Linked DNA regions of Drosophila melanogaster. The protein of the gene in region 2 interacts with the protein of the main gene of each other region in a pairwise test. Each region holds a gene or a part of one and is shown on either strand. Other genes may lie near its edges.

Region 1 (9,305 bases), on a different chromosome or scaffold from region 2:
TGTAGATTCCCGGTTACATTTGGTGGCGGTAGAAGCATGCGATAGGTCCCCCGCTTGCAACTGCTGGCTGAAGCCTTGGGCAAATTTGCCTGGCGATGCTCCCGCTCCCAGTAAGCATTTTCCACTGGTTGTGGCTGGTATCCTGCTGCCAAGGGAAGCTCATTAGCCGCATCTAAAAGTGGAAAAAAGTGAGTTCTTTAGCCGGCACTGGGGTTTTGAATGAAACTGGAGGTAACGCACCTTTAAGGGTACTGTAGTATAGAGAGTACACCCTTGGCTGGCACAGGTACTTGTGTCTGAGCAGTTTACTGCTACAATTCCCAATTATTTGCATTTTTAATGTTGTGTTATGTTATGTCAAAAAAAATTGTAATCTTATTGGTGATGGTATAAAAACAGCTGAGGAGATAATCGATATACGGCTTATGGGCGCCAATTTCAAACGAGAAACGGTAGAGCTTTCCTCCTCAATTTTTTTTCAAACTTCATTATTTATTTGATTTGTCAAAAGAGAAACATAAAACATCTCAGAGGGTACGTATGTGAATATCAGGATCCAATGTAATTTTTTTTAATTTATAAAAGAGAACAATTTTATTAAGAAACCATAAAGAAAAGTACGATAAAAAAATATATTTTTCAGGCACTGACACTGCATGAGGTGTAATGATCAATGAGCCGGTCTGCCTCCCGATAGCCCGCCTCCACAGCTCCGTGAACGGTGGAAAAGTGATTCCTGCTAGACGCTTCTCCGGCAAAAAGGAGGCCTAAATGACCATCTTCGCCCAACACAGGAGACTCTAGATCCCAGGGGCCCGTATTCCTTTCATCGGCCATAACTCCACGATAACTCCAACTGCCACGGAAATTCGGATTCGAAAACCACGAGCTGCGAACGAAACGCTTTGGCGGCGGAATTTCGAAAGTGAGGAACTTTCGGAAAAGCCAGTACAAGCCCTCAAGGACTTTCTCATCGGACAGGGTCTCCATGTGGCGTCCATGCGGACCATTCACCCAGGCCATCAACATTCGGGGCTGACAAGTGATCATGTGTACACCGGTTATACCCTCCACCCAGAAATATTCCGTCTTTCGCAGCTCTATCAGATCCTCTTCCAGCCAAAAGCAGAAGAAACCCACCCAGCCGTCAGGAAGAGGTTGCTTCTCATACTCCAAATACAGTTTGTTCACAGTGCCCAGGGTGAGGCTGCGAATGGCATTCACCTTGGCTGCGGGCAGCGGCGGGACGAACAGTTTCTCGTGCTGCTCCTGCAGGACTCCCAGGGAAACGGTGCAGATGACGTGGTCCGCCTCGAAGTAATCCCCATCCTGGCAGCGCAGGATTACCTTACGGGGGCACGCCAACTCAATCTTGATGACCTTCATATCAAGTTGAATACGTCCTTCCAGTAGACCCAGCTCTTCTGGCGTATCCGCGCTGACCTTCATCAGCAGCCGCAGGAAGCGCCGGTAACCCTTCGTTCCCCAGTGGAGCAGCTTGTCGCCATCACATTCGTGGTACTCGATGTGTTCCCTAACGGAGACCTCGAAAAGATTGTCCGCACCAATAATAGAGCTTTCATGCTTCGCAAATGTATTCAAGGCCTCACTAGCCACATCCCTATTCACTTGGGGTAGCTCGGACTCGATCTTGCGCCAGAAGGTCTGAGTCAGGTGGGTGCCAAAGGATCCCACAACCGGGTGAGGTCCACTCGGCATGCTCTTCACAGCAATGTCGTGAATCCTGCAGGCCAACTCATGTGGAACCACCTCCTTGTTGGATCTCACCCTCTTTATGGGACTGTAATAGTCGCCTGTCTCGTGCAGGATACCCATATCCTTGACCATGTCGTATACACAATTTTGCTGCTTTCCATGACACCACTGGGCTCCCAAATCGATGACGTTGTCACCAAAATACACGGTGTTGATCCGCCCGCCAATGCGATCCTCCGCCTCCAGGATCTGAACATTCTGGAAATTGTTTTGCAGGAGTCGAGTGGCGGCGGCTATGCCCGAAACTCCTGCTCCGATTATGATTATCCTAGAGGAGGCACGGCATTTTTCCATTTTGAAACGTTGGTAGTTAAGTTCGACAGAAAGAGCAGACGATCAACGAGCTACTGATGAAGTTTGTGGGCTAACTTGGCAAGTGATGGATGCTGCATTTCAATGGCTTCCACTGCGGTTGGAGTACAACTTTTTGCACACTCTGCTGGTTTTCAGCCACAACCATGTAACATTGAGAATCCGGGTCACAGAACATAAAAGTCGTCTTAGATAATATTGCTTCGGCTTTTATTACTTAATATGATGCGTAAAAAATTATGTTTCATAAATAACTTAAAAGTGGCATTTTTTTCTCATTTGGCGCTGCTATTGCAAATAACAATTCCACAAACAAAATGAAGGGGAGCTCAATAAAAAATGTTTGCAAAATTTTCAAATACGATAGGTTTAAGCTCGATTACTTATGGTGCTGCCAACCCAATCGAAGTCGAAGAAGTGCTTCACCCCTGCGAGCTATCGACTCAGTGCGAAAACGATAGAAGGCTACGCAGGCAGAAACAACAACAACGTCCCAGGCGAAGAAAATATATTAAATCCCCTGAAAAACCACGAAAATCCATGAAAATTGCACCCAACTAGGAATTAGAAGTCACTCCCTACACCAGCATGGCATCCGCTACGGTAAGAAATGTATGTATGCCGCACTAACACCTAACAAGCTGCTTGATTGGGGTGCCATTCTGACAATACGATCCGAGGTTTTCCACGAAAACTCATATTTTACAACGAGGCAAGCCAAACTAATCCCACATACGTGTTACACAGGTGCCGCTGCTCGACGATGACACGATACCCTTTGGCGAGGAGGACGAGATGCGGGATCCCAGTCGCGCGGGTCAGAAATACACGTATGCAGAACCATAATGTTTGTTGATCAATTCCATTTACCCCAACCCAACCCAACGCGTGTACTCCACAGGCACCCGTACGTCACCTTCTTCCACCTGTTCTTCAGGGGCGCCGCCATCCTGATCTATATGTTCTGCGGTTGGTTCAGCGACTCCTTCATCACCAGCTTCGTTTTCGTGGTGCTCTTCCTGTCCGCCGACTTCTGGACGGTGAAGAACATCTCGGGCAGATTGCTGGTCGGTCTCCGCTGGTGGAACTACGTCGACGACGATGGCGTATCGCACTGGGTGTTTGAGTCAAAGAACGTGAGTCACGAGCATAGCTAACTAGATTGCCCTTGATAATGAAACGCAGTCTGAATCCTACCAGAGTCGGGTCAACAAGAACGAGCAGCGCATCTTCTGGCTGGGACTCATCCTCTGTCCCGTCTTCTGGGGCCTCTTCTTCCTGTTCGCCCTATTCGGCCTGAAGTTCAAATGGCTACTGCTGGTAATGATCGCCATTGCGCTGAATGCCGCCAATCTGTATGGCTACGTCAAGTGTAACTATGGTGCCAATAAGGATCTGAATTCCGCCGCCACAGACTTTGTGAAAACGCAGTTCTTCAAGAATGCCGTGGACATCATGACAAGGCCCAGTGGCGCCCCACCGCCAACAAATGTACGCCCGACGGGAGTCGTTTGAGCTGGTGGAGACGCCATCTACTAAGTCACCTTGCCACCGTCTGCTGCAGCGCATTCCAAAGAGTATTCGACGCTTCTTCTGGCGCGGACCACGACCTTCGATTGGCATCGCTGTCTGTGTACCATATGTAAAACTTAATTTAGCCATACTGCAATCTACCATAATCATTTCTTACTTTTACTCGGATTAAAGGACCGCATGTGCGTGTGACATGCAACCAGTATGCCACATGGTTTTATTTCGAATGGTTTAACTACAAATTTAAGAATAGTTATTAAAAGGGATTCAGATATAGCGAAATGTGTTTTATTTTTATTCTCTGCATCTTAATCTGAGTACGAAAGACGTGAAGCAAATAATTTTCATTACTGTTAGATTACTATAAATTATTTAGTTTATTTTCTTTTTTGTCATTTTAGTTTCATATATGAAACTGTCGTAAACATATATTTAAAAATGAAGCGTAAATATAATCATTCCTGCAAAACTAAACTAAATGAAATTGCAAAACAATTTAAAAATATTTTTACATATTAAAAAACCTGATAATTTTTTAGTTCTTTGTTAGTGGCAATAACGGTTCATAGGCAAAACGCAGTGTGGTAGTGGACGCCACAACAAAGCTTTCCGGCTCAGTGAGCGACGGGCACACTGGCACAAAGCACAAAACAGAACAGTCGGTCGGAAACGGAATCGAAAAGAAAGAAAGAAATGCAATCTGTGCCGTAAGCGGGGGCGTGGAACAAAAGTTTTTGCAGCCCGGAACGAGTTTCATTGTTAGCTGCAGAGCAGCAGTGCCGTAAGTCCGCCAAATCCCCGCCAGAACCGGTGACGTACGCACTGCTGTGGGTTCAAAAAAGGGGACTCGAAAGGCGGGATAACCGTGGCGAAGAAGGGCGGAGGTGGAAGGCGGCGTCGACAGAAGCAATCAAGTGGCAACAGGAGATAGCCGGGGCAAAATGCAAAAAGTTAATTAGTGGGGGCCAAATCAAATCGGACACCCCGCCGAGGGCGACACCATGGAATTCGCCGACCTTATAAAGACCCCCAAGCTGGACGGTGTCCTGCTGCACGACCCATCGAATGCGGGGGCGTCGGGTGCAACAGTTGGCACACTGTGCATCACAGGGCACCATTTGCTGCTCAGCGCCCGCCAGGAAACCAGCCAGGAGCTATGGGTAAGTGGGTTGAGGCCTGCCCACCTAATCCGATGTGCTTCGGCATCAGTGGAGCGCTCATAATTGAATTAGAAATTCATCATGCTCATCCCCCTCTTTTCAGTTGCTCCACAAGAACATCGACTGTGTGGAGAAGAAGCCTAGTTTGTCGCAGAATATCGTGGTCGGTGGGATTATCACCCTGAAGTGCAAGGACCTGCGCATCATTTCGTTGGAGATAAAGTGCGGCAAGGAGTTCTTCAACGTGGCCGCATCGCTGGAGGCACTCAGTGCCATCCAGAACACCGAACTGCTCTATCCATTCTTCTACCGGCCCATGTACTCGATCCTAGAGGACGGCTACACGATGTTTAGGTGGGTACACGGCTTCTCCATAACTAACAAATTGGCTACAATTCAATTAACCTCCCCATCCAAACGACAGGCCCGAGCTGGAGTTCGCCAAACTCATAAGCGGGGTTGGCATGGGCGGTGCGTCCTCGCCGAATGTGGCCAACATAACAATTTGCATGCCATCAACTTCGACATCGACGTTGACTGTGGGCGCCGGCATTCCCCATCCTCTGCAAAATGGCTATGCGATAGAAGCCCTTGCGTGTGGTGTTGGTGGTGTGGGAGGTGGTGCGCTTCAAAGTCCCCAGGCCTCCTGCGAGTGGCGCATCACCAACGTCAACAGAGACTTCAGCGTCTGTGCCACATATGGCGCCACGCTAATTGTACCTAAAGCAATTACGGACGAGCAGATAGTGCTCTCCGCTGCGTTCCGCGATGGCGGCCGCTTCCCCGTGCTCAGCTACAGGCATGAAAATGGCGTAAGTCATTGCATCTACATCATCAAATTTTATTAAATTAATTCAATGATTCATATTTGCAGGCCACACTAATGCGCAGCTCCCAGCCGCTGTCCATTCAGGGCATCAAGCGCTGTAGAGCTGACGAGGCTATCCTTAATCTGGTGCTGGGTCGCAGTCGGAAGGGGTTCATCGTGGACACTTGGGGTAAGGGCAAATCGAATACGGAAACTGACCTGCACTACTCGCAGTGGAAGAAGGTAAATCGTTCAATTGGAAACGTCAGTTCGCCCGCCTCTATTTTGGACAGCTTTGCTCGGCTTATCGAAGCTTGCAACGATTTGGGATGCAGTACTGATAAATGGCTATCGCGACTGGAGAACAGCGGCTGGCTTAGTCTTGTGCTGAACTCACTGAACGCCTCCTGTGTGGTGGCCCAATGCCTGGACCAAGAGGGAAGTCCAGTGTTAGTGCACGGTGCTAAGGGGTTGGACTCCACGCTTATAGTCACCTCACTGGTGCAGATCATTCTCAATCCGGACTGCCGGACTGTAAGGGGGTAAGTAATCATATTCTCCTTACCTTGAAAAAGATATTTATGCCGTGTTCCCTTTGCAGCCTGCAGGCTTTGATAGAGCGCGAGTGGATCCAGGCGGGACATCCGTTCGCCTCGCGTCATCGCTACTCATGCTATACACCAAATCAGACACGCAATAAGACCTCTGGTGCCACCTTCGTCCTATTTCTGGATTGCATTTATCAGCTTTACACGCAGTTCCCCTGCAGCTTTGAATTCAGCACTCAACTGCTGATCCTTCTATTTGAGCACAGTCACTTTTCGCAGTATGGAACTTTCCTGTGCGATTCAGAGCGGGAGAGAAACGAACTGAATGTGCACACCAGGACGACGAGCCTGTGGTCTTATTTGAACCGGCCTGATGTCCTTCAGACATTCTTGAATCCGCTGTACGAGCCTAATGCCAATGTGATATGGCCATCGGTGGCGCCCATAAGCTTAGAGCTGTGGAGTGGTATGTTTAAGAACTTAATATATGAAACATTACTCATCAAACATGCATTTTAGATCTCTATTTGCGGTGGGTGATAGATCAACGCAGCTCAGTCACAGTCATGTCGCAAATTCAGGAACTTGTCACCCGCGAGAAGGAACTCAGGACTCAGGTAAGTCCACTTGAGTATTGATAGCGAAATGCTTACTGATGACATGTATCTTTCAGGCCCTCAAGTTGCGCAAACAAGCCATGGAGCTCGGCCAGGAAGTGTCCAACCTCATGAAAAGTGGAAACGATACATAGTCGGCTACCTCAAATGTTCTCTATCTTTTAATCTCCTGCATGATATACACTTATTTTTGATACGTTCTGTTGCAAGATTTCGACAATTATTTAAGCACATAGCAAAACTAATGTTAAGTCACTAAAAGTTCCATTTACAAGAAATTATGCTGAAGGAAAAAGAAAATAAACAAGGTAATTAAATTATTGGATAAACCATAGGATCTGCTTTTGGATCAACTGAAACACTCAATTTTAGACATACATGTGTCCATTTTTACTAACTATACTTCTATTGCATAAGTTCGGCAAAACAGTAAGAAAACTCTCCTTGTAAAACGCTCTCTACTCTCAGACTCAGATTGGGATTCGAAACAGCACAATGCAACTATCAAATATTTGGGTCAATTTTTGACGCATTTACTTTTATGGAATTTTTAGCGTATAAGTCTCCAAAATTACCTATTTATAGTACTTACTTGTGTCAGTTATTTAGTGGTCAACAAGCCACAGATCAAATTAAGTATTATAAACTCAAAAGATTTGCCTTTTTCGAAAAATTGTATGTAAATTTGATTAAATCGCATAAATTTAAAGCTTCAAAAGCGTTTACATTAAAAATATGCTGTGCATGCGTTGGTATATCTAAAAACAAATATTGTAAATTATATACTTATAAATGTTTGTAGCTGTTATTCATTGTGCGTCGATTTCGTATTGTGATCAAATTTGAAATGACAGAAATTTGTATGTAATTTACATTTGTATTGTGCGTATTTTGAGTAATTATCGCTTAAGTGCAATAAATACGTGTTAATTTGCAAACGTTAGCTCTTTTAAACTCGCAGGATTCTATGAGCACCACTTTAGAAAAAAGAACTTTCAAATGCAGTTTTGTATAAAGAAAATTGGTTTATTTTTGCTAGACTCATTTAAAACAACATTCTGTTGTTTCGGTTCACTATTTATTTCGCTGTAAAAACGTATATAAAACTCACTTTAATCAAGTACAATTAATCCCCAATTTTCGATTGTACGCAATCCTCGACAACAATAACAAATTAATTTGAAAGCAAATGTGTTCTTCAACGAAAGAATGCAAAATGAACGAAGGAAAGCTGAGGAGAACATAGAGAAACGAGCTGTCCCATCGAAGTTGCCCGTGATCCTGTCTTAGTTGCAGGCTTCGTCCTCCAAGAAGAAGAACTGGCCGGAGCGTTTCTGTTCTGTGTCCTTGACCGAATTGTTTTTGTTAATGCGGGGTCTGAAGTTGTTGGGATCGCGACGGAACGTAATACCAAGCAGTTCGAGGAAGCGGTTCATGCCATTTAGCAGCGACTGCGGCGAAAAGGCTGTCGTCTTCACTGAAGGCTGACCCTCGATCACGATGACACGGTCGGCGAGGTAGGTGGCCATGATGAAATCGTGCTCCACCACAAATCCAGTTTTCTTGGCGTGCAGAATGTAACTAAAACGAGATACCATCAATATTTGTGTGCAGATTTAAAGTCTATGTAAAACATACCGTTTGATAACCTTGGCGGCCACCAGACGCTGCTCTGAATCCAAGTAGGCAGAGGGTTCGTCGATGAGGTAGACATCCGCTGGCTTGCCAAGACACAGGACCAAGGCGACTCGCTGCAACTCACCACCGGAAAGGTTCTGCACCTCCTGGTCCATGATTTCCTCAATTTTCATGGGTTTCATAACATCGGCAATAAACTGAGGATGCACGTAGGCGTCACGAATCTTATCGTGCAATAAATGGCGAACATGATTTTGGAATTTCGGGGAAATCTTCTGGGGCTTGTAGGAAATATTCAGCATAGGCAGTTCCACCTCGCCATCGGGTTGGAGGTTACCGGCCAGCATGCGAATGAACGTCGTCTTTCCTGTACCGTTCTCGCCCAGGAGCACCAGGATCTCGGAGTCGCTGAAGTGACCCTTTTCCACCGTCAACTCGAACTTGCCCAGGGTCTTGACCATGGCGGGATATACGTAGTGGTTCATGCGCTTGATCTCCTCCTCCGTAGCGGACTCAGATACTTTGAAAGTAAGTGACTCAGTGCGGAATCGCATGTTTTCGGTGGGCACAAAGCCATCGAGGAAAATGTTGATGCCTTCGCGCACAGAGAAAGGCATAGTAACCACACCGTAGCAGCCGGGAACTCCGTAAAGGCAGCATATAAAGTCAGACAAGTAATCCAGCACAGACAAATCGTGCTCCACCACAATAATAAACCTGCATATTACAGAACCACGTCATAATTTTAAACAATGGCACATTATTCATCAACTTACTTGGTGGGATGCAGGAGTGATCGAATGGTCAAGGCAGCGTTCAGACGCTGCTTAACATCCAAATACGAGGACGGCTCGTCGAACATGAAGATGTCTGCATTCTGTATGCATACCATGGCGATGGCAAAGCGTTGCAG
Region 2 (7,174 bases):
GAGACGGAGAGCCGGTTTCGATCGAGAGCGGGAGATGGAGATAGAGATAGAGGTGGAGAATTGGCCGCGAAGATTAGTGGGGTCTCGCGAAGATTTCTCGGGTCTCGAGAGGAGAGAGGTGCAGATAGCATAACGAAAGCCGGCGGATAGTCTCGAATGCGCTGCCAGCGATTCGCGAGCGATGCCTATTTACTATATAATCGGGTCCCAGCAGGCGGGCGGTTGTTAGTGCTGCTCTTTCCGCGGCTCCAAATCATTCCCGCAGTGGATGGCCCCGCGATCGGTTCGTTTCGTTTCGGTCTTTGGTATCAGATCAGATCAGGGTATCGGTTTCCCGGAGAGTGTTCGCTGCTCGAGTGAGAGTGCCATGAAGCCCTAGAAAATAAGGAAACTAAGTCCCACGAGAAAGCACAAATCCCACACGTTCAGTATACAGTGTAAATAATCCACGCAAAATGAGCCAAAGAGCTGACAGCGGTCACACGAATAGTGGCTTCAATGGTGGATCCGAGGTGTCCTTGGACATACCCACCAACACGCTGTACCACACCTCGCGCGACTGCATTGTGCAGGAGGAGCAGGGTCCCGATGAGAGCTGCCTGGAGGGAACTCAAAGCTGTTGCTCAAACCTCTGGTCCAACATCTTCAGGAAGAAAACGCTGTACAAGCGATTCCCCATCCTGGTGTGGCTGCCCCAGTACAAAAAGGATTATATTTTCGGTGACATAGTGGCGGGCATTTCGGTGGCCCTGACGGTGATACCCCAGGCCCTGGCCTATGCCGGAATAGCAGGACTGGATCTGCAGTACGGCCTGTACGCCTGCTTCCTGGGCTGCTTCATATACATATTTATTGGGTCCAGTAAGGATGTGCCTATTGGACCTACGGCCATATCAGCACTGCTGTCCTTTCAAATCGCTGGAGGCAGTTGGCAGATAGCCACCTTGCTAACCTTCCTCACAGGTCTCATTGAGATCCTGATGGGAGTTTTCCGGCTGGGATTTCTCATCGATTTCGTTTCTGGTCCCGTGGGAGCGGGATTCACGAGTGCCGTGTCCTTGATCATCTTCAGCTCCCAGATGAAGGACTTCTTGGGCATCAAAACAAGTGGCAACACCTTCCTGCAAGTGTGGATTAGCATTGTGAACGATATACACAACATCAGCTGGCCGGACTTCATCTTGGGAATCGTCTGCATTACTCTGCTCCTGAGCCTGAGAGCCCTGGCCAGTTGTACCCTGGGTCCCAAGGAGGGAAAAACCACAGCGCAAAAGCTTCTGACCGGCATTTTCTGGACCATCGGAACTGCCCGCAATGCCCTGCTGGTCTGTGGAACTGCTGGCCTGGGTTACTGGTTGTTTGTCAACGGCAAGGAGAATCTCGTGAAGACAGTTGGCTTTGTGCCCAAGGGATTGCCCTCCTTTCAGCCACCACCCTTCCACATGGATGCCGTTGTCAACGAAACCACAGGAGAAGTCCTTCAGGAGGCCCAGAGCTTCTGGGACATGGTCAGCACCCTGGGATCTGGGCTCATTGTGGTTCCATTGATTGCTCTTCTGGAAACTATGGCCGTTGTTCAGGCTTTCGGTGAGTTGTCCGCTTATTTGATATCGTCATTTTCATGAGTTGGATCTCGTTCTTCCCCAACGAGTTCAAGAATCTTCAAAATTCAAGTAGGATATGAATCATCAGTAATTGGTTTATATTTAAAGCTAATTTTAAATCGGATTGACGAAAGCAACGAGTTTTTGTTTATAACCCTTATACCCTTATAACCCTTGTTGTCCCAAATTAGTGTCAACTTTTGAATGACACGTGCAAATATTAAAATAGGTCAGTCGCTTTATTCCTTGGGGAAGAACATATTGTTTTGCTTTCGAATTTCATTTGACTGGATTGTAATATTTTCCCCGTTTGGTTTTTTCCTTTTAGCTGATGGCAAACCCACAGATGCCACGCAGGAGCTGATAGCCTCTGGAGTGTGCAACGTGGCCAACTCCTTTGTCCAGGGTCTTCGGAGCAATGGCGGCATCGCCAGGGGAGCCATCTTAAATGCCAGTGGAGTGAGGACCCAGCTGTCCAATCTCTACACCAGCGTGATAGTGATTATTGCCCTGTTGTACCTCACGCCCTGCTTTTACTACATTCCTAAGGCGGCTCTGGCCTCCATTATTATTGCGGCGGTTATTTTCATGGTCCAGTACCGAGTGATCAAGCCCATGTGGCACAGTAAAAGTGAGTTGAAAATAAATAAACCACACTCACATGTTTGTTACCATACGTGTGTATTTCTCCTGCCACAGAAACCGATCTCATTCCCGGCCTGGGTGCCTTTTTCGCCTGTCTGGTTCTGCCCCTGCAACTGGGCATCCTCGTGGGCATCGGCATCAATGTGGTCTTCATCCTCTACCAGGCAGCCCGGCCAAAGTTGCGCATCGAAACGCTGGCGGTGAGTCATTCCATCCGAAGTATCTCAATCTATACCTAGAATAGCTTCAGTGGCTGAAAGTATGCTACAGATTCTTAAGATTCGGATGGCATTTTTATCTCATGTTCATCTTACTGTAGGAATTAATATACTGCTAGTTGATATGCCATAGATGATTCCTATGATATTAATAAGCCGACCTATCTTTATAGACAACTACTGGTCTGAAATACCTAATGCTAACTCCCGATCGCTGTCTGATCTTCCCCTCGATGGAGTTTGTGCGCAAGGTGATCAACAAGCAGGGTCAGAAGTCCACACTGCCGGTGGTCATCGATTGCACCCACATCTATGGAGCGGACTTCACGGCCGCCAAGGTGATATCCACCATGGTGATGGACTTTAAGCTGCGGGAGCAGCCGCTGTTCTTCTACAACCTGCAGCCGCGAGTGGCGCAGGTCTTCGAGGGTCTGAACAAGGATCTGGTGGTCATATACGATATTAACACCCTGCACGCCAAGCTGGCGGAGAAGTCGCCCCCGATCTGAGGGATCCAAAGAAGTCCGAAGGGGGAACAACGCTGCAACCTCGTTATGCGATAGTCTTAGCCCAAGTCTAGTTCGTAGCTTAGTCTCTGTCCTAGACCTAGTACTAGCTTAGTCTTGCCACCGAGGCCAGCGACTAAATCTAGATGTGGGCTGCCCACGCTCATCGCCTTAGTTGAAGGTACCATTACCATTCCACGGCTAGCCCAGCTCACCTTAATTAGCATTTAAGATGTGGCAATCTTCGCAGATATCTGCACAATATTATTTATTTGGCCTCTAACGGCGAAACGCTGTGAATTCCAGAGTCAGGGCTCCTCCCACCCGCGATTTTGCCGCTGAACATAGTATTATTTTCGGGTAGCGAACGGCGAGTTTTAGCATAAGTACTTAAATAAATCAAGTAAATATAAAATAGTTAAGTGGCGTTAAGAGTTTTACTTGATTGGCCAAGAAAGTGGAAATAAAACACTCTCATTAGGTATTATACGTTGTTACCAACTACTGGCTTTATTAAAGATTTATTCCAAGATTGATAGACTTTATATCTAAACAACATCATGATTTCTGGGTGTCTTTAATCTCAAACTATGCTGTGATTTTATTTGGTGCTTCGTGTGGGAAGTAAATTTTTTGGTTCGAAGGCATCAATAACAAGAAAGCATTACTCGAGATAAGATTGAATGAATATGTTTGACACCTATAATAAAATAATATTTACGAAACGTGTGGCAATAATACGACTTATCTTAAAATTTTTAGTCTGTTCAAGAACCCTTAAGTTAAAGTGTGAAATGAAGTTTCCATCCCTAACTTGTCAAAATTTCCCAGCACTGCGTAAAAACTGTCGTCTCATCAGCCGGATTCAGTTCGTTCAAAAAAATAAGCAAAATTATATCAATAGCTCGGGAAGTTGTTGAGCGCTATACAAGGAAAGAAATAACAATTTGCAGTTCAACGTAATAAATTACTAGCTAGCCTTTTTTGAAGTGATTTTTTTTTCCAGAAGAAATATTAATTTTACCAGATGAGCAAAGACGTAGGAATCCCAGAGGGTTCCGAAGGCTTTCATTCATATTATACGCAGAAAATATCAGAGCTTCAGTTCACTGTGAACGAACGCCAAAAGAACTTGCTCCGTTTGCAGGCTCAGAGAAATGAACTCAACCTCAAGGGTAAGGTTCTTAGAATGAATATATCCTTTATAAGATTATCCTGCCTTATCCACAGTTCGCTTGCTGCGCGAGGAGCTGCAGTTGCTCCAGGAGCAGGGGAGCTATATTGCGGAGGTTGTGAAGCCCATGGACAAGAATAAGGTCCTTGTGAAGGTTCATCCCGAGGGCAAGTATGTAGTGGATGTGGACAAGACCATCAATATTAAGGATGTGACACCCAGCAGCAGGGTGGCCCTGCGAAACGAGAGCTACACGCTTCACAAAATTCTGCCCAATAAGGTGGACCCATTAGTATCCCTTATGTTGGTGGAAAAGGTGCCCGACTCCACCTACGAAATGGTGGGTGGCTTGGACAAGCAGATCCAGGAGATCAAGGAGGTGATTGAGCTGCCTGTAAAGCATCCGGAATTATTTGACGCCTTGGGCATTACCCAGCCAAAGGGAGTGCTCCTCTACGGACCGCCTGGAACTGGGAAAACCCTGTTAGCCCGAGCTGTAGCCCATCACACGGAGTGCACTTTTATACGGGTTTCAGGGTCGGAACTGGTTCAGAAATTCATCGGCGAGGGTTCGAGAATGGTAAGGGAGCTTTTTGTGATGGCTAGGGAACACGCTCCATCCATAATATTCATGGACGAGATCGACTCGATTGGTTCCGCTCGACTGGAAACCGGAACGGGGGATTCGGAGGTCCAGCGAACCATGCTGGAGCTTCTGAACCAACTGGACGGCTTCGAGGCTACTAAAAACATTAAGGTGATCATGGCCACCAATCGCATCGATGTCTTGGATCAGGCATTACTGCGTCCTGGTCGAATTGACCGCAAGATCGAGTTTCCGCCACCAAACGAAGAGGCCAGATTGGATATCCTGAAGATACATTCTCGCAAGATGAACCTCACCAGAGGCATCAATCTTCGCAAGATTGCTGAAGAAATGCCGGGGGCTTCTGGTGCTGAAGTCAAGGGTGTTTGCACCGAGGCGGGAATGTATGCTCTGAGGGAAAGACGGGTCCATGTCACCCAGGAGGACTTTGAAATGGCCGTCTCCAAGGTAATGATGAAGGACTCCGAGAAGAACATGTCCATCAGAAAGTTCTGGAAATAGCTTATATAACTAATTTTAAAACATTTGAAAGCTCCATTATCAGACTGAATATAATAGTTGATATAAATAATACAAGTTTTGTAGTATATTCTTGATAGAAAAGGACAGGAGTGTAAAAACAAAGACTTTACTCAAGTGAAACTACTAGATTAATGTTCGTAATGGTATAGATATAACTTAGCTAATTTTATTTGGGCGTTGTAAGACTAACTTCTAGCTAGTGAAAGAGTGCTGGCCATGCTCACGCATTCACTAGTTCCGTTTCCGGACTCGGCGTGGTCGAGTGAGTCCACGGACCTCGAAAGATCCGGCTCGTCGGGCCGGAGTTCCTGGTTGAGGGCATGGGTGTTGTAGCAAAGCACCAGCCTCGTGTTCAATCCCTCGAAGACACTCACTACACTGGGCTTCAAGTTGAAGAATATGATCTTTTGCTGACGCCGGCGGAAGTCGTCCACAATGGAGGATATTACTTTGGCGGCTGTGAAATCCGCAGCATAGATATAGGTGCAATCGATGACCACTGGCAATGTGGATTTGCTGCCCAACTTCAGTACCATATTTCGAACAAACTCCACCGAAGGAAAGATCAGACATCTGTCGGGGGTGATCTTCACGAATCTGATACCTTGTTGGGTTTCCAGTTGCTCCAGCGTGACCTTTGGCCTGGCTGCATAGTACAGGATAAAGAGAAGATTCACACCAATGGCCACCATAATTCCAATTTCCAGGGGCAGTACCAAACAGGTGACGAAGGCCAGGATGCCAGGCACTAGATCGGAACCTGCAACGTTGAAGGTAACTTAGGAATATAAATACTAATCAAGGAAGTCTCAACTCACGTTTGCTGCGCCACATGGGCGTTACGACCTGGTACTGAACCTGGAAGATCACTGCCGATATAATAATCGCTGCCAGCACCGCCTTGGGAATGAAGGCGATGTATTCGGTGAGAAAGTTCAGGGCGAGCACTACGATAACACCGATGTACAGGTTGGACATATTGGTGCGACAGCCACTGGCATTATTCACCGCCGATCGGGCCAATCCTCCATTGCATCGATATCCTGAGAACAAGGAGGTAGCAATGTTGCCGACTCCACAGGCAATCATTTCCTGGGTGATATCTATCTGTTTACCCTTGGCGAAGGCCTTGCAAACCGACATGGTTTCCAGTAGGGCCATTAGGGGAACGATAACTAGTCCATATCCCAAGCTCTGCACCATTTCAGGAAAAGTCTGTCCCTCAACAGCAGGGATCCCAGCTGTTTCGTTGCCGGGCTGCGGTTCGATGGAAAACGGAGGAAGTGAGGGCGTGGGCATTCCCTTGGGAATATTTCCAGTTAGTCTGAAAGGATTCGTTCCATTGGCATCCAGGTACATGGTAACAGCGGTAAACAGAATAACCACTGAGGCATTCCTCGAGGTGGACAGAAACTTGATCACCGTGTTCACTACTCGCTGGAACCCGTTCCTTCTCGATTCGTCCTTTGGACCGATGGTGAACTTTCCGAGACTCCTCATGGCCAGAAGCAGGATAACACATCCAAAGCCCAAACAGGTGTCGGCTACGCGCACGTTTTCGATATCCCGGAACATGCTTATCCACGTTGCCAAAAAGGATCCACCATCACTTTTGACACCCAGCATCGAACGCATCTGGGACGTCGACACAATCAAGGCAACGGCACTCGTAAATCCTGCGCTCACCGGTCCAGAAACGAACTCCACCAAACATCCAAGCTTGAAGATGGCCATCAGAATCTCTATAATGCCGGTCAGAAAGGTCAGCAGTACGGATCTCTGCCAGGATCCTTGGGCGAACTGGAAGGTCATGAGTGAAGCCACCGCTGTGCTACCAATCGTGCTGTCCTTGCAGGTTCCCAAAAGGACATATACGAAGCAGCCCATGAAGGATCCAT
Region 3 (6,809 bases), 3.3 Mb from region 2:
TCAATTACGTCTGATTCTGATCTTCAGCATGTTCGCCAGGGAGATATATGCTACCTCCAAGCTGCACTTCTTTAAGATCAGCACCGAGCTGTTGACCAACTGCAGCCAGATGGAGACGGAGGCGCAGCTGTTGATCTTTCGCTTTCTGGTTGACAATCTGGGAAACTTTGCCGTCGAAGACTGTCTGGATTTCTTTCACAGCTTTGTAGAGCGACATCGCTGTCTGGAAAGCTCAGAGTTCCGGAACACGATGCTGGGCAAGATGCCAACGATTATCAATCACACGGCCAAGCACTTTCAAAAGGTTCTAAAGGCGGACATCGGAGTGGGTGGCCATGCATTGGCTCAGAATATCAAGCGATTCTTTTCACATCTTCAGCATCTGATTGAGCGGGACATCCACAGCGAGGTTTATCAACCCAAGATCTTTGCCCTGAAGTTGCTGGAAATCCTAAATAGGTCGCTATATGCAGAAGAAGTCGCAAAAAATGCAAAAATGTGCAGTCCTCAGCAGAATCAGCGCATGGGCATATTTCTCCTGGAGCACGGAGTCTTTCGTCCAAAGGAAATGGCGCAACAGCTCTTCGAAACCCTCAACAATCCACAAGGTTTCGATGATGCTTTGGACCTAACGGTCTCCCTGTTGATTCAGATGGGCCATGTGGACAGTGAAAAGTGCGTGGAGCGGTGCTTCGAACTGTGCCACACGTCTGATATGGACCAATGCTCCTTGGTTTCCCTCTACGCACAGTTGGCGGTTACAAAAGAGCAAGCTGGATCAAAGATATTTGATGAGTGCCTGAAAAGGCTTACCGGTAAATTAGATCCCTTCTTCGAAGATCCTTTGCAGACCGCCAAGAGCGGAGGACATCTCTTTGGCTATCTTTGCGCCTTGGACGAGGTGGTCAAGGCTGGCTTGGCAGTGGAGACGCCTCTGGAGGATTTGTTGCCATTGCTAGAGAGAATTCTCAGCGGCATTCTCAAGTTCCTCAATGTGGCCAACGCCCGGCGACAGGAAGAGGCAGCCACAGCAGCCAGTTTCCAGGACATGGACGAGAGTCTCCAGCTGCTGGTCAGCGAAAGCTCCTTCAAGTGTGATGGGGAGGAAGAGGCTTGTCGAAAGTACTTACTGATGAGCTTCTGGTTAACGTTGAAGGTGCGTAGATATATTTCTTAACTCTTGATAAACTTATCATTTGTTTATCCTTCTGCAGGGCTGTTGCGATCTGGCCACCAGCATTGGGTGTTACCAATTGCAAACGTCTGCCAAAACAGTTAACACCGAGACTCTGCGTCGTTGCCTCAATATTAATGTTTCCGTTTTGACGCTTTGCCGGCACAAAGGAGCCATAGAGGCGGCCGGCTTGAGCATTGGCAGACTTACCCGTGCCATCACCAGTAGCTTAGACAGCTGCGATTCGGGATTCCAAATGCTTCACGACTGCCTAGAGCGAGAGCTGCTGACTGAAAGCCGTCAAGTGAGCACCACACGACGTGGTGCCGGCTTCGCCATAATGTTCCTTCACGTGCTGAAGAACGATAATCCACGACAGCGGCTGCTGCTCCATCGCGCTGTGCAGCAGATTCTTAAGAGGCTAAATGAAAACCAAACCGCGGAGACTGTTTGTCTCGATAGCAATCACGATCGCTGGGAGGCATTGGTACTGCATTACCTTTGCGTTCTTGTGCGCGACACAGAACTGAGGCCAGCTATGAGCAAGTACTACAATGAGATTCTGCTGGTGGCCATGGAGCACATCACCAACCCCGAATGGACCATTTCGAATGCGGCACTTCAACTCTTTGGCGCCAATCTGGGCAAGCTGGTCGGCCAGCGCCAAGCTACAGAGTTTGACACACGACCCGCCTGGGAACCCAGTGAGCTGGACTACGACGAATTGGGCTGCTTGCTGCCCAAGGCTTGCGAGCACATGCTGAGGTGCTGTGATCGCCAGGAGGTCACGTCATCCATCATACTCTTTCTGGCCTTCTTGTCCAAGGTCGAGCACTTGCGTACGTCGGGCGGGAAAGAGCCAAATCCCCTGCTCATTCGCTTCCGCCGACTCAGTTGGCATTTGTTGCGGCACAAATGTGATCAGGTCCGCCAACTGGCGGCCACCTGCTTTGTGCGGTCGCACGAATTCCGCTGCGATCTGCCGGCGGCGCTGCTGGCCAGCGCCAAGTTGGCCGCGAATCTGGAGGAGGAGAACTTCTACGAGGGACTGATTTACACGCTGACATCGGGCGTGCTGAAACTAAAGCACGAAGCACGTCATGTGTGGAGCGCGGGACGTCTGGAGGGATTCCTTGAAGCGCTGCTCACCGCGCTGGATGTCACTGAGCGAGTTCGTCGCTTCAAGCCGTACACACGGAATGTGCTGCTGGAACTGCTAGGCCAGCTGGGTAGTGCGGATAAAGCGGCTCTCGTCGAGTCTCTCGGCTAGCATTAGCAAATCTAGTTTTATCTAATCTTTAATCATTAAGCCAAAAAGTTATCTTTCCTTGTCAACGCTTTTACAACTATTCAAATGACGCATTTAATGTTTGTACGCAGTAAACGTAACGAAAGTATCTACCAAACAGGGATTTCTAAAATAACCAATGAGAATATGAACTAACCGCGCGATCAGCTGAAACCCTCGCTCGACTCCTGCTCCATGGCCTGAAGTTCCTGTTTTTCCATAGCCTCCTGCGCCATTTGCTGCAAGGTACGACTGAGTATGTTGCGCAGGATGTGCGGCTTGCAGTGCTCCTCCAGCCAGGGGATAATGCCGGTGGTCAGCTGCTTAAAGTTCTCCATGGGTATGTGTTGAAATGTCTCGAACATTTCCTCCATAATGGCCTGGAACTACGGAGGAGGGTGGTGGGTGGCGATTCTAGAGGTTATAATAGAGGTAAGCGCTCCATACTTACCACTTGAAACTTGGCCTCATCGGTGAGTCGTGCCTCCTCCGGCCCTGGATTCGCCTGCTGATGCTGTAGCATGTTCTCATAGCCGTTCTTAATGATCCGTAACGCTGTTACCTCCTTTTGTAGCGCCGATCCCTCGTCCTCCTGCTTGAGTTTCTGCTGGTTAAGGTAGCCAATGTATTCGATGGACTTCTGCAGGATCAGAGCCTTGCTGAGCTTGTAGCCGGAGGAGTCGTTGGGCTGGCAGCGCGGCACCAGCTCCTGCAGACTGTCGTAGCCCTTCTTAATGGCATCGCGCCGCTTCTGCTCCGCCTGGGTGTGCGCCTCCCTTCTCCGCTCCTTGTAACTCAGCGTGGAATTGGCGGCCGCGGAATGGCGCGCATCGCCGCTATCGTCGTCGTCGTCTGCGATACAGAACCGAAACATGAGTACAATGTAATAAAATGCTGCTGATAGCGAGTAATTCAATGCCACTGCTTTATCAGCTGCCCCCGCCCCGCACTCTTGACCGATCAGCGTGACCGATCTTGACCAGCGTTCGCCCACCTGAATTGTGCGCCGAGGAGTTCGGAGTGTGCGTGCTGCCCGCACTGCTGCACCGCGAGTAGTGCTTGCTGGTGTGGTCCTGGTCGTGCTCCATGCCGAAAACGTCTTCCTTGGTGGCCAACGCGTTGTTATTATCGCTCATCGTCAACTGCGACGTTTTGGAATTCCCAAAACAAAAACACTAGCAGCGGTGTGACTGTCGCAAGGTAGCGCGAAAAGCCTTCGGTATCTGATGGTCACATTCAACATTGTGCGATAGTTTTAAGGAATTTTTAAAACAGTTATCAGGTACCAGGCTAACAGGTACTTTAATTATGATGTTATTCAACCAACTATGCTTGTTATAATTTGCATCCCTAATAACATAGTTTTTAGAAACTGCATACAATTAATTTTTGTAGCAGAGTGTAAGATGTGGTACGTTCAATCAACGAATGATAGTCATATCGATATTTCGGCCACCTCTACCGGTCCGGATGATGACTTTTACGTTTTTTTCTTGTTGAACTTTGCCGTCGTGTCGCTTTCTTCGGGGTTATTGCTTAAATTTAGCGGGTTTTTGGGCTGTAATTTGTGATCGGCGGACGCACAAGGAATCAATCATGGGCCTGCTATATGCGCTGCGCGTGAGGATCATGAACTTCATGATTTTCTTCCTCCTCATCATCCTAATGCCCGGTCTGCCGCCGCGCACCACCTTCCCCTTCAAGGACTATATGTAAGTGCCGCCCGTTTCAATTGACGTAATTCCCGTGTTAATCCTTGGAGAAATCGCCACTTCGTACAGTGTGACCCCGCCCAAAGACCTGAAGGGTGCGCTGGAATCGAACTTTCACCTGGAGGGAGCGGAGCGACTGCTGGAGGGGCGGGTCTACGGCCCGGAGTGCCTGATAGCCCGCAACAACGAGATCTACACCGGCATCCACGGCGGTGAGGTCATCAAGCTAACGTCCAACCATGTCACGCATGTCACCAAGATCGGCCAGCCCTGCGGTGCGTATTTTCGAGTCCTATAAAGGGAATTTCATTTTATAATAGTAATCCCCTTGCAGAGGACATCTACGAGGAGTCCCGGTGCGGCCGTCCGCTGGGACTGGCCTTTGATACGCAGGGCAACAACCTCATCATCGCCGACGCCTACTACGGCCTGTGGCAGGTGGACCTGGGCACCAATAAGAAGACTCTGCTGGTCTCGCCCGCCCAGGAGCTTGCCGGCAAGTCCATCAACCGCCCTGCCAAGATTTTCAACGGCGTGACCGTGAGCAAAGAGGGCGACGTCTACTGGACGGACTCCTCGTCGGACTTCACCATCGAAGACCTCGTCTTTGCCAGCTTTGCTAACCCCTCCGGCCGGTGAGTTCATCGCAAATTATAGCGACACTGTCTAATATTGCTAGAATTCAAAGTGATAGCTATTCGGAATAGGGCTACAGTGGGACCCCATTACAATGTATTTCTTTATAAAACGTGTTTTGTGACCCATTTAAGATTATTTCAAATGTTTGTAGCGGAGGAATCGAGGGAGTCACTTAATTAATCTCAATTAAGAGTCCACGCTTACTGAAGTTAGCTTAATTCTTATAATTAAGGGACAAGTTACAGAAGTATGACTGTAAGACGAACGCAAACCGGTTTCTCGATCTGGTCTTATGGTTACTCTAACGGCCTTTGCTTTCTTCTACGTTCCAGTCTCTTCAAATACAATCGCTCGAAGAATGTTAGCGAGGTGCTGCTGGACGAACTGGCTTTCGCCAATGGATTGGCCCTCAGTCCCAACGAGGACTTCATCGTGGTAGCCGAAACCGGAGCGATGCGTCTGACAAAGTATCACCTGAAGGGAGCGAAGGCCGGTCAGAGCGAGGTGTTCGTCGACGGACTGCCCGGTTTGCCCGATAACCTGACACCCGACGCCGAGGGCATCTGGGTGCCATTGGTCCAGAGCGCGGATAGCGAGCATCCCAACGGCTTCACCCTGTTCACTCGCTTCCCCAGCGTGCGCCTGTTCCTGGCCCGCATGCTGGCTTTGTTCGAGCTGCCCTTCCGCTACTTGAACAGCGTATATCCGAACAAGTTCTCGCAGCGATTCGTTCACTTCGTGGGACACATGGAGAGCATCACTGTGCTGGCGCCCAAGCGAACGACTGTCGTGCGTGTGGACTGGAACGGCAACATTGTGGGCTCGCTGCATGGCTTCGACAAGTCGGCCGCCACGGTATCACACGTCCTGGAGTTCCAGGACTTCTTGTTCTTGGGCTCCCCCACCAATCAGTACCTGGCGCGTGTCAAGTCGCCAAAGGCCAAGCAGCCCACGCTGAAGGTGCGCAATGTTCGCGTCGAGGGCGAGGGCTTGGAGGCGTCCATTGGTGTGCCACCCAGCAAAGCCACTCCTAAACCCAAGGCGGCTCCTAGCACCACCACTCCGAAACCCACTACCACAACGACAACTACCACGCCGAAACCCACTACCAAGACGACAACTACTACAACCACGCCAAAGCCCACTACCACAACGACAACCAAGAAGCCAACGACCACTACCACCACTACGACAACCACGCCGAAGCCAACAACTACTAAGCCGCCGACAGCTAAGCCATCTACGACTACAACAACCACCACTACTCCTAAGCCAACTACTACTACTACTCCTACTACTCCTACTCCAGAGCCTTCTAAACCGAAGGTCAAGCGCACAGTGCCTGAGAAACCCGCGCCCGTTGAGGAGGATATCCCCTCGGACACACAGCCACCCAAGAAGGAGAAGCTCAAGGTCATCAACAAGCAAGGCGTCAATGTGGAGCTTTAAGATCGCAGACGCATCAGCTTCCTCCTGAGTTAATCGGGCATATTCCCGGACGCGAGATTAGTTTCTTCACGCAGTCAAAACCTATTAGGATTATTATCTTTTTCCCTCCAACATCTCAACCACTTTTGGGGAATTTTCAAAGGTTTCTTATTTATCATGCCCCAACTCAGGCTGTCGAAACCAGTTAATTTTAGTCGAAAGGTAGCTAAATTCAGACTAGCCGAGGGCCTTGCTCATATGATCCTCGACGGGCAACGCTTTATATGTTGTAGACTAACATATAATTCTGTTTTGCTTAGGCACTATAAACATTCCATTCCTTTTTACAACCGGAAGTGCATTCCATGTAGCTAAGTTAATAGTAAACAATGCCCCAAAATTGTTAAACTCGAGCAACTTTTGATTTTGTACTGATTTTTTTTCTTATTTTCATTAAAAATAAAGGTATTTTGTAAAAATAGACGTAAGCCTAATGAGGTTGGTTGTCTTAGACTAGCATTAAATTAAGTTTAGCCGTAAGATATCACTAATTTGTGGACACCGATTG
Region 4 (6,439 bases), about 21 Mb from region 2:
CCGGGATCCATGGCAGCGATGGCGTAGCAGATAGCCAGCAGAGACAGTCCGAAGACGACCATGAACCACAGGATGATGTTGAAGATCACCGGGTAGTCGCTGCCGTAGTAGACGGCCAGGTTGTAGGGATTGGTGGTGGAAGCGGCAATGGTATCACGCTTGGCACGCGATGCTGCCACGTCCTTCTCCGTGGTCTGGACAAACAGAACCGAGTCGCTGGACTTCTGGGAGGCAGCAAGCAGGCGGCTGATAGCGGCCGACAGCAATTTGTTGGCCTCCTCCACGGCCACGGACTTCTCGCCATGAGCCTTGGCCACTCCATCGACGGAAACGCGCAGCATCAGGACATTCGAGGGCTTGGCCATCTCAGCCAGATGATCGGCGGCACTGTTGATGAATCCAACCTCCTGGAGGAACTGCTTGTCAGCGGTGTGCAGAGAGGGGTTCAGGTGCTTGGTGGGCTTGGCGGCTGGGGCCTCGAAATCACCAAAGCAGGACTTCCAGGCTTGAACCTATAAAAAATATGTGGTTAAATATACATTGGTCTCTACGTTATATGCGTAAGGGGGAAGGCACTATGATTCACTCTATAAATCATGTGATTAATTAATTTTTAAGGTTTAATAACTATCTATCATATTTGTGGGAAGTTATAGCGGATTGTAGAGAAGCTTCTTTAAACGAACTTTCAGATGAAGATCATGCTTTCTGCGGTTTGACAAATTAGCTAACTGACTAACGAAATGTGCTTTTCCCCTTTAAGACACCACTTACGCCATCGTCGAACTGCTCAAAGTTAATATCGCAGACGGGCTCGTTGGCTGCCTCCAGTTCGGCGGCCAGGGCGTTCAGAGAGGCGTCCGTTCCGGAGCCTGTCAGCTCGTAGGTCTTGACGTTGCCGGCGGTGGTCACGTGACCAATGCCCTGGACATGCACCAGAATGACGCCCTTGGCCAGGTTGAAGGGATCGTTGATGGTCAGTCCGTTCCAGTTGGTATCGCCGCTGACGGCGTTGCCCATGGAAGCGTAGAGTACATCACCCACGTAGTGGCTTTCCAGTGCATCGTTGCCCTTGAAACTGATTGCCTTGGGACGGTTCAGCACGGTGAATTCGCCAGAGGCATTGACTGCAAAATAGGAAGACGTAGCTCATAAGTTCTGTAGAATCTAACATATTCGTCTCCTTTGTCCAAGATTCTGCGCATGCATGTGGGGAGCCCTTTGGAGTCCCGAGTTCTGGGTGTCACCACCCCCAAAGAGGAATCGATGAGTACAGAATATCCACTTTGTGACCGCTTTCCACTTGCTGCGCATGCATTTTACTTGATTATAGATGGTAGATCTACTTACTGGCCGCTATAAACAGCGAGAAAATCACGAAAACTCTCAACATTTTCAGTTTTCCGCTGGACTTTTAATCATATGACGAACGACTGCAAAGAAAACCTTTTCTCTTCCCCGATATCACCCTGACTATCATGTGATGAACAGGGTTGCTTGGGGTCAGTTATCGAATGGGTATCAGTAGGGTTGTCGAAGAGTGCGAACTATCGATTGTACTAGTATTTCTAGTTTTATTTATTATGTATTTTTATTTATTCAATAATTTTGATGTATGTAATATTTATGTATGTAAGCATTAGATTACATCGATTTTAATAACACTTGTAAGCATTGCATTATTACATTATTATTTAATAAAAAGATTCGAGTAATCAGGCTTAAAATAATGTATTTTGTAATCACCTTTACAAAGTTAAATGTAATAAATCTATGTTGAATTCAAGACAGACATTTTCGTCATCTTAACAAAAATTAAGGGTTCACCATGCGGACATTTAAAAGTTATCTATAGTTAAAATACATTTTAATCGCGTAGGGCGTCGATTTCCAATCGAAGCTTCTGAATCTTAAGCAAAGTCAGTGTGCGCTCTACTTTTAGATTGTCCGTTTCCGTTTTAAGAAACTTGGTCTTACTCTGGAACTGACTGATCTCGGCTCGCGCCTTTTCCGCTCGCAATGCAGCTAAACCATTTCTTGGCCTGGCCTCGATGATCGTCGCCGATCCATTGGCTAAGTCATCCGGGTTTTGCTGCAATATGTAATGCTGTTCGATAATCGTTAAAATGTCTAAGATACTTATCAAATTGTGAATATTTACTTCTTTGCTTTCGTCCAGGTACTCAGAGTATTCGGGATTTTTAATTTCAACGTTGGAAATTTCAAATTCCAAATTTTGCTCGCCAGACTCTTCCGTTTTGGTCAGTTTCCTTTTGCGAATTTCTCGTTTCACTCTGGGTTGCTCCTTGGGCGCCTCAGCCTCGTCAGCATCGTCCAGAATTTGTTGTATCTGGAATGAAAAATAACCATAATGTAAGTATTTGATTTAGTTTACGCATTTTTCACCTACTCACCTTAACAATGATCTCCTTGCCTTCGTTGGCATTATCCAGGCCGCCATCATCGTCGCCCGAAATCTTCTGGATCTGCATAAAAAATATATTTTAGAGCATTAGCGATATATAAGTAACATTTAATTTACATATGAATGTTCATATGAGACGATATGGGTTAGTAATTTCAAAAGTCAAATCATTAAGCACTATATATTGTATTCGGACAAAGTTCGAACCGAATATTTGTCAAATTACTTGGGGTTGACATTATAGTGTGCAAAGTATCTTTGGGATTTATTTTGAAGTGCATTTGTCCACTGACGTCCTACACCAGACATATACATACATCCAATGTATCCAAATTGGAAGCATCGAATTACCTTTATCCTAGGAGCCTCGTCATGATCCTTCTCGTCGGCAGAAGTGTACACTACAGCGCTTCTACTTCGCCGGGCATCGCAGGTTTGCCTACAATTTAATGAGAATTACTTGACGCATGTAAACACAATGTTTGGTGTATGTTTGTATGGTTACCTGTGTAACGATAGCCGGGATAGCGCCGTATTTTGGAGTACTTTTTCGCAGAAGTGACAGGTGGCCGAGTATTTGCCATTCTCCAAATTGGCGGTAAATCCGTGGGTTCTGTAAAAATCCTCGGACTTCTTTCGGGGCATTTTAAAATACAACAATCGCAGTAAATTCCAATGTACTATACACGATGCAAATAAAAATGGCTTCACTACAGATGCATGTAAAATCCACGCTTGCATACGATAGACATGTATCGACATATCGATAAAACCATTTTGATATTGATCAGTTCGATGCGTTTCTTTTAGTCAAAACGATATTTAATAAAGATCAGAAATAATTTTATATGTATATAACGGGTGAAGTAGTAAACTTTTAAAAGGATTTGCTTCTTAATTTTACTTATATGTATTTGTAATATATGAACGCCCTTCAATATAGTCTATTTTTTAAAGGTTCCACGCATATATTTTCAGATACATTCATGGTACTATTTACTGCCCGATTAATTAATCGTTAAATATACAAAGCTAAATATTAAACTTATTCTTTTCAAAAATTTGTTATTTATGACCCAGACAAAGTCATTTTTTACAATTCAGTCATTTCACAGATGATTCAAAAGTAAAAATATAATTAATATTCAAATGCAAGCGACCATCGATAGAATTCGATGGCATGTTATCGATACATCGGTTGAATTTACAGCAGCAACACTGTCACGTAATTTAACACAAACCGTATGTAAAAATGTCGCAAGCAAAAAAGGCCAAGCGACCCTCGGGCCTTTCGAAGGATGAAACTTGGAAGAAACTGGGCTTTCTACCCGCGTTCAAGGGCGGCAAGGATGGGGAGCCGAAGAAGTACCGAGCGCTGTGCACCCACTGTCGGAAATGCCAATCAAACACCAGCATAGACAGGCTGATTATCCATAGGTATGTATTATAATTTTTCCCGCTCATTTGCAAGTACAGTCCGTAAAATGTATGTATGTGGATACAGGAAGTCATGTCTCAAGTTCCGGGAGGATCTAACCGCTGAATTCGGTATTAAGGTGGAGGCTACGGACGCCGCTCCGGCAGAACAGAGCTCTTCCGGCTCCACAATTGACTTCACTTCGAATATTCTACTGGACAAACTGATCGACGAGGATGATAGCAGTGCACGCAATCAGGAATCCAACTTGGTGAGCTACTTGACCGATCTGGATCAACTGGTGATCCCGTCATCCGACGCCAATCGACTGCAGAAGGATCTGATCAAGGCGGAAACGGAGTATCTGGTGGTCAAATCCGAGTACTTTACCAAGATGAACGAGATATCCGAACTGAAACGCACCGTCACCTTGTTGGAGGCGAAAAAGACACAGCTGGAGATCGCCAAACTGCGTGCTGAATGCGAGTAGCCTAAGCTTTTTAAGTACACTACATTTTAAATTTCTTGAGAATATACAAATTTATTTAGATAATGAATAATAGTGATGCGGGGAGTTCGATTGAACAATTTATAAAGATGCCCGTCTACGTCGGCCTGCTGATTAAGACTACGGCCCAACTGTTGTCGCATCCCATGGAGCTAGTTCGTGTGAATATGCAGGCGAACGTAATCCACCATAGCCGTTTAAGCATAAACCATATGTTCCGGCTGATGGCCCGTCATGGATTACCCGGATTTTATTACGGCATTGTGGCTGCTTGTCTACGCTGTACTGTTCACACGATGTCAACGTACACGTTGTTCTACAACTTACAGGATAACAAGTACGTCCTAATGCTGCAGCCGTATAACACTAGCATGGTCCTGGGTATAACCGGATTTTGGGGCGGCGTATTGGCAACACCGTTCGCCAAGCTGGCGGTCATTCGGCAAGCTGATCTTACGCGCGGATCCTACGAGAGGCGCAAGTAAGAATATGGCCGAATAAACATAAATAGGCATTTTCCGGTTTAATTTTGAAACCAGCAAATATCTATATGTGTATCGTTTAATCTTCCAAAGCTATGAAAGTTAACCCTTTTTTGTAGCTATCGAAATTTCTGGAGAGGACTCAAATGTATGTACGCGAAGGGAGGATTTACTTACCTATTTACCGGTTGGAAAATAAACTCGATTAGTAGCACAGCCGTGGCCGTGCTGTATACTCCTATTAGTGATAAGGTCCATACAGTGATATCATGGTTCCACAGACTCGACGAGCCGTGGCTTAGCGATCTCATAACTATGGCGCTAACAGGCAGTATTATCACAGTCATTATGACACCAGTGGATGCGTTGGCTACTCTAACGTTAAACGAATCCTCACACTATGGCCGCACTTCCTATCCATATCTGTATCGGAAAATTATCCGAAAACATGGCTACAAGGGCTTCTTTTTTGGATGGAAACCGGCACTAATGGCCCTTATCCCACATACTGTTTTGGCAACGTTTGTATATCGCTTCTTACTAGATCGCTATATAACATAAAGACCCCCATATTTATTCACAAATCTTGTGGTGCACAATTGACAGAGCCTCCTTGAATTCTGATAGTTGGGCGGGCATTGTTTCGGTTATCCCGTTTTCCAGTTGGAAGCTAAAGACTTCGATGAACCGCGAAACGAGCTGGGAAAAAATTGATCTGTTAGATGTAACCAGAAATATATATAGACATAATAACATACTTTTAGAACTGGAGGTGCCTTCTCGTGGGCCACCAAACATTCCATTAACACAGCCACAAACTTCCCGTAAAACTCCGGCAGGTGCGGATGCAAAGCTTGCAGAGGAATAGGCATGATGCAAACCAGATAGCATCTTAGCAGTTGATCCAGTAAAGCAGTGCATACCTCGACACCTTGGAGCAGCTTGCTCGACTCCAGGACAAGCATTTGTAGGATGGCCTTGGCCCAACGATAGCTGGTGCTAACATTTAGAGCAAGGCATACGTCCCGACACGCTACCAATTTATCTGGTTCGCATATATCCATGGCCAAAGCAGTTTTCACATCGCTGCGATTGATGGTGAAGTAGTATCCTAATCGGATGATATACTGCAGCAGGCAGATTAAAACTTTTGGGCTGGAGGCCATTGTCACGTTCTGAATGAGGCGTTCCAGCATGTCGTCGCATTGGTTCCACTAAAGTTGCCATCATATTTATGTTCAGTAACTAGAGTAAGTTTCAAGGTACACACCGTGAAAGCATCTAGATCTACAAAGTGATCAAGACAGAAATACAGGCAGTTCCAAACAGATTCGATGGCTTCAATTGAGTCCATGTTGTAGACATCCTTGAGGGCATGGTCATAGATCACACTGTGCACGTTCAGTTCCTGAATGTCCTTGGAGTCCTGAAGGATGAAGTGTTTCATTGAAGGTCTTGGCGCTAAAGTGGTCTAACACGTACGCTAAATTTTAACATCACTGAGAAGATCTTGACCCCAAGTTGCTTGTAGATAGTATCATAGCATTCGCGCACATTAAGACCCACGGATAGTGCAAAAGCCAACATTTGGGTGGACATTGCGGATT

Evidence for each region.
Region 1: the proteins of Rpt6R (region 2) and CG5026 interact in a two-hybrid assay, tested with the Drosophila melanogaster proteins (one large-scale study listed by BioGRID).
Region 3: the proteins of Rpt6R (region 2) and bigmax interact in a two-hybrid assay, tested with the Drosophila melanogaster proteins (one large-scale study listed by BioGRID).
Region 4: the proteins of Rpt6R (region 2) and Ibf2 interact in a two-hybrid assay, tested with the Drosophila melanogaster proteins (one large-scale study listed by BioGRID).

The regions. Positions count from the first base shown.
Region 1 is NT_037436.4:8,964,293-8,973,597, forward strand, and holds CG5026 (uncharacterized protein), read left to right. Parts: upstream 1-4,235; 5' UTR 4,236-4,622; coding exon 4,623-4,781; intron 4,782-4,884; coding exon 4,885-5,135; intron 5,136-5,205; coding exon 5,206-5,593; intron 5,594-5,655; coding exon 5,656-6,131; intron 6,132-6,190; coding exon 6,191-6,603; intron 6,604-6,656; coding exon 6,657-6,754; intron 6,755-6,810; coding exon 6,811-6,888; 3' UTR 6,889-7,460; downstream 7,461-9,305. Other genes in the region: ValRS-m (Valyl-tRNA synthetase, mitochondrial), read right to left, coding at 1-172, 241-334; CG5653 (uncharacterized protein), read right to left, coding at 640-2,070; CG5021 (uncharacterized protein), read left to right, coding at 2,677-2,700, 2,836-2,918, 2,990-3,224, 3,274-3,603; pix (pixie), read right to left, coding at 8,041-8,335, 8,393-9,109, 9,169-9,305.
Region 2 is NT_033777.3:30,580,350-30,587,523, reverse strand, and holds Rpt6R (regulatory particle triple-A ATPase 6-related), read left to right. Parts: upstream 1-3,826; 5' UTR 3,827-4,000; coding exon 4,001-4,148; intron 4,149-4,203; coding exon 4,204-5,255; 3' UTR 5,256-5,326; downstream 5,327-7,174. Other genes in the region: CG9717 (uncharacterized protein), read left to right, coding at 456-1,587, 1,933-2,235, 2,304-2,449, 2,641-2,976; CG9702 (uncharacterized protein), read right to left, coding at 5,462-6,036, 6,095-7,174.
Region 3 is NT_033777.3:27,284,872-27,291,680, forward strand, and holds bigmax (bigmax), read right to left. Parts: upstream 3,656-6,809; 5' UTR 3,599-3,655; coding exon 3,457-3,598; intron 3,315-3,456; coding exon 2,914-3,314; intron 2,849-2,913; coding exon 2,627-2,848; 3' UTR 2,495-2,626; downstream 1-2,494. Other genes in the region: CG3368 (uncharacterized protein), read left to right, coding at 1-1,156, 1,215-2,444; Hmu (hemomucin), read left to right, coding at 4,059-4,174, 4,244-4,449, 4,509-4,809, 5,146-6,262; CG3348 (uncharacterized protein), read right to left, coding at 6,789-6,809.
Region 4 is NT_033777.3:9,255,679-9,262,117, reverse strand, and holds Ibf2 (insulator binding factor 2), read left to right. Parts: upstream 1-3,616; 5' UTR 3,617-3,677; coding exon 3,678-3,862; intron 3,863-3,929; coding exon 3,930-4,332; 3' UTR 4,333-4,391; downstream 4,392-6,439. Other genes in the region: ATP6AP2 (ATPase H+ transporting accessory protein 2), read right to left, coding at 1-512, 775-1,127, 1,351-1,393; Ibf1 (insulator binding factor 1), read right to left, coding at 1,868-2,107, 2,162-2,350, 2,415-2,486, 2,777-2,864, 2,931-3,070; CG16736 (uncharacterized protein), read left to right, coding at 4,440-4,831, 4,952-5,393; CG16734 (uncharacterized protein), read right to left, coding at 5,406-5,531, 5,591-6,046, 6,103-6,258, 6,315-6,439.